2 linked regions of the Nothobranchius furzeri genome follow. The protein of the gene in region 2 purifies or fractionates together with the protein of the main gene of each other region. This does not show direct contact. Links are inferred from orthologs where the notes say so. Each region holds a gene or a part of one and is shown on either strand. Other genes may lie near its edges. The genes, in order: znf830 and ppil2.

What was found.
Region 1: the proteins of ppil2 (region 2) and znf830 purify together in Homo sapiens (co-immunoprecipitation; 4 studies listed by BioGRID and IntAct, counting the BioPlex papers as one, with this or other methods). This does not show direct contact. The link is inferred for Nothobranchius furzeri from reciprocal best matches to the Homo sapiens genes PPIL2 and ZNF830.

Annotation. Positions count from the first base shown.
Region 1 is NC_091751.1:50,905,267-50,909,208, reverse strand, and holds znf830 (zinc finger protein 830), read right to left. Parts: upstream 2,380-3,942; 5' UTR 2,270-2,379; coding exon 1,247-2,269; 3' UTR 703-1,246; downstream 1-702. Other genes in the region: ankyrin repeat domain-containing protein 13C, read left to right, coding at 3,667-3,942.
Region 2 is NC_091750.1:38,469,922-38,473,743, forward strand, and holds part of ppil2 (RING-type E3 ubiquitin-protein ligase PPIL2), read left to right. Parts: intron 1-311; coding exon 312-387; intron 388-1,769; coding exon 1,770-1,876; intron 1,877-3,822. UniProt on the Homo sapiens protein: Has a ubiquitin-protein ligase activity acting as an E3 ubiquitin protein ligase or as an ubiquitin-ubiquitin ligase promoting elongation of ubiquitin chains on substrates.

The sequences.
Region 1 (3,942 bases), on a different chromosome or scaffold from region 2:
GAAACTGCTGCACTTTTTTGTGATCTGAATATTCGTCTTACTGAAAAGATGGCACTGATATGCCCCCCACTTCACTCACCCCTCACCCTCAAAGTTCACTTCTAGACATCAGTCACAAATCACTACTTACATTTTAGACAAAATTCAGACAGGCATCTGTAAGGAAAACATTCAGATCTAATGTAGCCAGGTCTTTGGTTTATTACAGTAAACCACCGATGACCATTGGTGTTGTTTTAATCTCATTCCCGAACACCAGTCTTTCTATATTCTTTTCATCCATTTCCTCCATTTTCCATCAGGCTTTTCTTGACCCATCAAGTTCCAAATGCTCTCATAAACACCCGGTACAACTTTTAAACTCTGTGTTTACAAACGAACACTAGGAATGGCATTGTCAGACAATTATTCACCTCAAGTGAATACTGCAGTTTAAACCTTTTGGGATAAAACAAAGTGTTTTTGTTCTGTATTTATTCCTCCTTATTTTCACCAGGTTTATAACGGATCACATAATCTGTTCATGTATTTATACTTTTTAAAATTTATTTTGTCATGTTTTGTAGATATGAAGGGCTATGAACACTTTGAAGTGGTTGTTTATGAGACATGCAGCAATAAGTAAGTTTGAGATGTTGCAGTGGGAAAAAGGCAACCCTAGCTCATCATATATATAAAAGGTAGTGTAAGAAACACTGACAATCACTATTTCCAATACATTTTATTGCATTTTAATAGTGCATCTATCTACATCGCAGAAATATAAAACTTTGTTGTGCTTTGTACAAATGTATTATTAACTGGTTATCTTGTTAAGGGGGCCAGCTTGTTGAAACTTAATTTATGGTCTTAATCACAATATTTTAATGATTTAGTTCTGCAAATGTTGATTTTTGATGTGACATGAACTTTTTTTTTTTCATTAAACATGTCATCAATAGGTTATGCAGGACAATGGTTATTTGAGCTCATGTTGTCAGGGCCTTGGCCGCCATCATGGTGTAAATTGTTGCTGTAAATGAGATTTTATGATTGTTTTTTGTTTGGGCACCAATAAAGATGATAAATGGTTTTATTTTGTGGTCATTAACTGATATTGTTTCTGAGTTTTACTCACATCTTGCAACTTTGTGTTAATCACTGTAATGTTATAGAAAAACATGAGCATTTTTAAATCAAATCTATTTATAAATCTTGAACTGAAATCTTTAAACAAAATAATTGTTGAGTCAGTAATAAAGTTCCTTCAGGCCAGAGCCCCTTTAGCCCTCCAGTCTCGAGACAAAAGCCCCAGGAGCCCTTCTTCATCCTCCTCATCATCTTCAACAGTCTCCTCTGTTTGAATGCGTTCACTAGGCACGTGCACAACCTTCCTTTTCAGCACTTCTCTCTTATCCCTGAGTAGCTCCACTCTTTTGTAACACTCAATTTGTTCATCAATTTCATCGATCTGGCGTTCAATGCGACCTTCTTCGTCATCCTCCGCCACGATGGCCTCTGATTTGGTGTTCACCTGTCGTATCTCCTTCTGAAACTCTTCCCACTCTTTGTCCATATGATCTTTTGGTGCATCCACGTTTCGCACTTTGGCGTCCCTGACTGGGTCGTCGAAAAAGCCTTCAGGGAGCGCCTCTGCTGTGTTATCCTTCTTCTCAATGGCCTTTTCCTGCACGTCTGCTTTAAGGATTGATCCTGAATGGGAAATGGCAGGTGTGGATGGGATGGAGCTGTCAAAGAAGTCAGATGGTAGTCCTGCAACTTCAGTCTTCTGAGCAGGTGGATTCGTCTCATCAGCTTCCTCTTCCTCATCATCATCCCCGTCATAAACACCGGCCAAGAGACTCAGTCCTGCAGACTTTTGAGCAGGGACAGCAGCTTCATCGCTGGGTTTATCGAAGAAATCTCCAGGAACTCCTGACGCAGCCTGACCATCAACCGCCGCTGGTTTTGCCTTCTTCCCAATAGCGTCTTCGCTGTCTGACGCTTTCCTCTTCACCGCTTGACTCGGTGCAGCCACTGATTGAGTCTTGGCTGCCTTCAGCTCAGCAACCTTTTCCTTATGCTGCTTTCCAAGAACATGGGCTGGCCACAGTAGCTCCGACTTCACTTGGACGCTGCACAGGACACAGCTGAGGTGACCGAGACTGTTGTATTTAGCGAAAGGAGACACGATGCGATTCTTCTCGGTGGTTTGTCTTTGTTTCTCTCTCATCAACCGTCGAAGCTCTTCTTGATTTACTGCTTTCTTTCCTTTTTTAGAGGATGCCATTTTTAATAACACGTCTTGTTAGCCAGGTAGCAACTAGCTCACAACACCGTAAAAATACGTCTCATGAAGATGACGTATCTTCTTCGTCTTTATCGCGGGTAAAAGGTAACGCCTAGCTCATTGCTGCCATCAACTGGATTTGAACTGGAATAACACAACCTACATTTTTTATTTCTTTCTGATTTTGAATGAATGCCCCTCTCACTCCTTTCCACCTTTTTTAACCGTGTTTAGCAACATTTTGGAAACTTTTGGGTTCATAACTATTAAAAGTCACGTATTTGACAATATGGCTGATATTATGTTTTTGCACAATGTTTAGTTATTTGTTAACGATTCCTTCTGTGTTTAAAATGATAATTGGGTAAAGGCCTATCTAAATTTACGAGATTTTTTCGGAAAAGTTTCAGTTATTCTTGGCAGACACTCAAACTACAAGCATATAAAAACAACACTAAAACTATAAGATATAAAAAATAAAAGACTAAATAACATTAATTGAGATTACATGTATTTTTTCTGCAACTAATTATTAAAATGAGCCTTTAAGGTATCTATGAAAGTGTATGGAAGTCAGTAATACTAACACGTGGGATGTGAAAGCGCCAATATAAGTGTCAAATCAAGCTGACATGCATGTTTTTGGTTTGTGGGAAACCGGAGTCATAAACTTTTCATGTGTCATAAAAGTTGTGTTTTCTAAAATATCACATTAACATATGTCTGTTCTTGGAAAAGCAATTTTATATTTCGTTGAAAATAACGGCATAAAAATGAACAAGTGTATACTTTAATTTTTGTCTCGTGTTAAAACACACAATATACCTTGGTTGAACAAAAATAATACATTTTTTTTACATTTTCTTTTATTAGCTGTATTTTAGAAGTTACTAAATCAACATCCTGTCTTTAAATTAATCATATTAATTTACTCTTTAAACCAATAATCTCGCGAGATTTGCGGTACACCGCTGGTGCTAGCGAGAATGTTAGCTTTTTGGTTTATTATACCAACCTGTCCGCCCCACTTTTGCTGCAAAGACTGAATCGATAATATTAAAACGTAGATTTAAGGTGCGATAGAATAGATAACGATGTAGCCGTCGTTAGTCGCTGTACGTTTTAGCTTTATGTTATTTTAGTACAAGTGTTATTTTGGGTTTAGCATTAATTTCTGTTTTCATCGCCGCACCCACCATATTCATTATTTTATTGTGGGCTAGCTAGCTAGCGCCGGGGGAGCTAATTGACTCGGGACAACAGCTGTAACGATATTTAATCAAATATTTAAAACAAGCAAATATTTGTCGTTTATTTGCGGAGCCTTTCAGTGCTTTAATAAACGCCACGCCTTCACCAGTTTGTAATCTAGTAATTAGCGTACTGTAGTCTGCACCATGACAGGTGAAAAGATCCGCACCATGCGAAAAGATCACAAAAAAGCAAACAAAAACCAGGAGATAACGGACACCTACGAGGAAACCTCTAACGGTACGATCTCTAACGACACTTACAACCACTTTAAATCCAACAAGGCTTTTCAGAAATCAGTTAAAACCTCCGCGCTGCAGCAGCAGCTTAATGCAAACAACATCAACGGAAACGCATCAGTGAAGGACGATGACAACAAAAACCCAATTATCCTGACCAGTGATGAGCTGGAGTTCCCTGTT
Region 2 (3,822 bases):
TAAGCCCATTTCTGATTCACTCTCCGTGCAGCTAGCAGGGTTTCTGTGCAGGTTACAATAGGAGAATAGAAAAGTAAACGGCGTTCCTCCCACTACTAAACCCAAACCAAAAACAGGGTTTCAGTCAGTAGAAGTAGGAAACATTGTTGTGCAGAGGTCATAAAAGAGGTCAAAGAGCTGACGGTGGGTGTTTTAGAGGTCACATCATATCTCATGTGTGGATGAGCTTTAACCTTTCGTACTCGCCATTTATTAGTATTGAAGAGGGCAAAAAGCCGACCTGAAAGCCATGTTTGTGTTTGCCCCCCCAGGCCCACTACTCAACAGGAAGAGTTTCTGCCTCCTTCACATCTACGGCTATGACTCCTGCAACGACACACGAAGCAGGCGAGTCTACATCTCACACAGATAGATCCTCTGCAGCAAAAACAAGCCTTCATCTCTCCTTAATCTGGTTGCGTTAATCTCTGTGCTGAGAGGCCTGGTTAGTCGTGTGTGAGCTTTCTTCGTGCTCGCAGAGCCGGTAATGTTGTCACCCTGTCAGAGAGCGGACCGCTGCAGCGAGAGGGAGTCGCTGTTATGCAACACTAGTAGGTTCAGACTTCAGAGGAGGACAGCGTTTGAATCTGGTGGCCTACTTCAGTGTTCTTAATGCGGCTGGGGCGTGTTTGGTAATCCAAGAACAGATAAGAGGTCTAAAAAGTATTTGAAATAAAAAGTTTAGCATAAATGTTCTGGAATAACAGACGTGTGGCTCCAGTCCTGGTTCTCCAGGGTCACGATCGGCACGTTCGGTGTCCCCTGCATGGTGGCACAGTTGGCAGAACTGTTGCCTAGCAGCAACGTGGTTGCGGGTTTGAATCCCAGTTACAGCCTTCCTCCGGTTTCCTCCCACAGAACGAAAACATGCATGTCGGGTTAGAATGAAAGCGTCGGCACAATAAAAAGAAACAAACATGTCTTCTAACCGGTTTGATGACCTGCTGAACGGGTATCTGGTGTGCCGGAGCAGGGAAACATCTAAAACATGCAGGATAGCTACTCAAGGACCAGGCTCCATTTGTTCTATTCAACTAAACATTTTTTATTTGGCTCAACTTCCTTTTTATGGGACGCTCGAGTTCAAAAACCCAAACTAGCTTCATTAAGTTATTTCTAGTTAATCAAAGAGCAGGAAGGTTGTTACGAAATGACCTTTTGAACCCAGAACCCTCTTTTCTCCGTCTGATTCATGTCTGCTCGTTAAAAAGCCAAATAACAGATCGGCTCTGATGGAAGCCGCGCGGAGCCAGGCGGCAGCACGGGCCGGCCCTCTGAAAGGACACAAAGGACCACGTGCTCGGTCCACCGGTGGAGGACGGACAGACGAGTGCTCGGGTCAGAGGTCATGAGCAGAAACTACCTGATTAAATGTTGCTACGGAGATGAGGAGAAGCCTGGTGGAGGTTTGGAGAGCATCCTGTGGTTAAATGACGTGAAGATCGATGTAGAAGACATTTTGGGTCAGAGCAGTGACGAAGATGGGAGGATAATGGTCTGGGGACGTTTCTGGATCACGCGGAGAAGTTCCCTAAAGCTTAGTTTAAGGGCTGATTTGTTTGAAATACTGTAGTTCAGATTCCTAAATAACTATTTCCCAAACTAACACTGAATTATCTTTATACTCCAACATTTCCAGGCTTATACAGCATTTATTTCATTATTTACATTTTCTGTCCGTTATGAAACCATATTTAATTATTCCGTGTTTATTTCTGTTCTCTGTACAGATGCCATTGCCGACGACACGGTTCGTTATCAGTATGTGAAGAAGAAAGGTTACGTCCGTCTGCACACCAACGTGGGAGACCTGAACCTGGAGCTGCACTGTGACAAGGTAAAAACAACAATCAGGCCAAGAAGAGCCGCTGATGGGGATGAAAACCGCAGTTATTTATCGTCGGAACAACGTTGGTCTGAACATTTAACCTGTTGTCTCTTAGGTCTTTTGGGTAAAACTACAAGTCCCATGATGCAGCAGTCCTGTCAGGAGAGATTTTCCATTAAAATAACCCACTTTTTTCTCCATCAGTTTCCAAACTAAAATAAATGAATCTGATACTTTCCTGTGGTTATGAACTCACCGAGCACAAACCGAGTCATCAGAAACTGAAACGGATCTAGATTCTGGATCGGCCGTCGCAGCTGCATTAAAACCCAGGGTATCCGCGGGTCCTTAAAAAGTCTTAAATTAGCTTTTCCAAATTTAGAGGCCTTAAAAATCCTTACAGTTTCCAAAGGTCTTAAATTATCAAAGACCCAATAAACAAGATTCTTTTATTTCTATAAAATGTTTGTGAATTTTTAGTTAGTGTTCAGCATCTTTTGTGTACGATGTTGGCGTAAGCGGAACCGTACACACTCAGTTGGTTGTGAAAGGGGGATATTTTTAGAAGGGCACATTAGCTGGTTGAGCTAGTGGGAGCTTGCGCCATGGGGAAGTGCAAGTTTAATGTTAACTGGATGGCTAATCCCACGTTAGCACCGGTTCCAGGCAATAGCTGAAATTATAGCTTAGATTTAATTTTAAAAATAGCTTAAATTTGGTCAAAGTGGCCTTAAAAAAGGTCTTAAAAAGTCTTAAATTTGACGCCCTTAAACCTGCAGATACCCTGAAACCAGAACCGTGCATCTCTATCGGAACCTTAAATGACTACCTGCTCAGTGGCCAGGTGGTAGTGTCCACCCTGAGACTGGGCTCAAACCCACGGTTGGGTCATACCAAAGACTTGGGACCCAATTGGTTAAACCACCAAATTGTTCCCGAGCGCAGCCACAGCTGCAGCTCACCACCCCCTCAGAGGACGGGTCACATGTGGAGAACAAATTTCACACCAAAGAGTGTGACAGCTGGTGGGACTTAACCGACTAAAGCTGATTTTATCGCATTTGATTTGATGAAACGAGGAAGTTAAATCTTAAGACTTGTCCATGGCTGACTTCTCCGCTTCCCGACGATCTAAAGTACATTTTCAGGTTTCCAAACGAGTTTGCATGTTCGACGTTCTTCAGCTGTGCACAGAAATACAAAATGAGCCTTCGTGATTCTGCTGCAGCAGCAGGGTCACAGATACAGAACTGTCGTCCAACTCCTGGGTTCAGAATCAGAGGAGAGAAATATTCATCAGCAGTTCCACCTCCAGATGTTCCAGAAATCTGTTGCATCTCACATCGCATCAGTAAATGTTTTTCTGTTCCAGAGTTGAGTTTTACTGCTAAAATGGAAGGAATGTTGCTGTTGTGGGTTTTAGAGGCTCTTTGTGCTGTTTGTTGGTACCGTTTGGCACAGAGTTGAACTTTAGCAGCGGGTTTGTGATGCAGGCGGAAACGAGCTCAGAAAGTTGTCCCCCAGCAAAAGAGCCAGAGAGTAAAATAGGTTTTACGAAGCAGCTGTTGTTCTTGGAAACCATCATCATGTTGCCAAGGAGGGGAAAAGTTAGCGACTCACTCCAGTAGACCCCATCACGGCCTAAGCCCCGCCCTGTTCCAGATCCGGCTCCGGTGAGATGTTTTACAGCAGGGCCCAGATACCGCTCTGTGTTTGACGGCAGCAGAACAGAGCAGCTTTTCAGATACCTACACGTCTGCTTCAGGCGACACATGAACTTACTTCCTCCCAAACTTCTGTAAAGATCATTTCTGACAAACTGAGCTTCATCTCCATTTCCGTTGAACTAAACAAAACTGCAGTCATTAGGTTTTACATTTCAATCTGACTTGCAGTTTTAATCTAAGAACTTCTAATAACTTAAGTAAAATATCCATAAATGTGTTATTAAATCA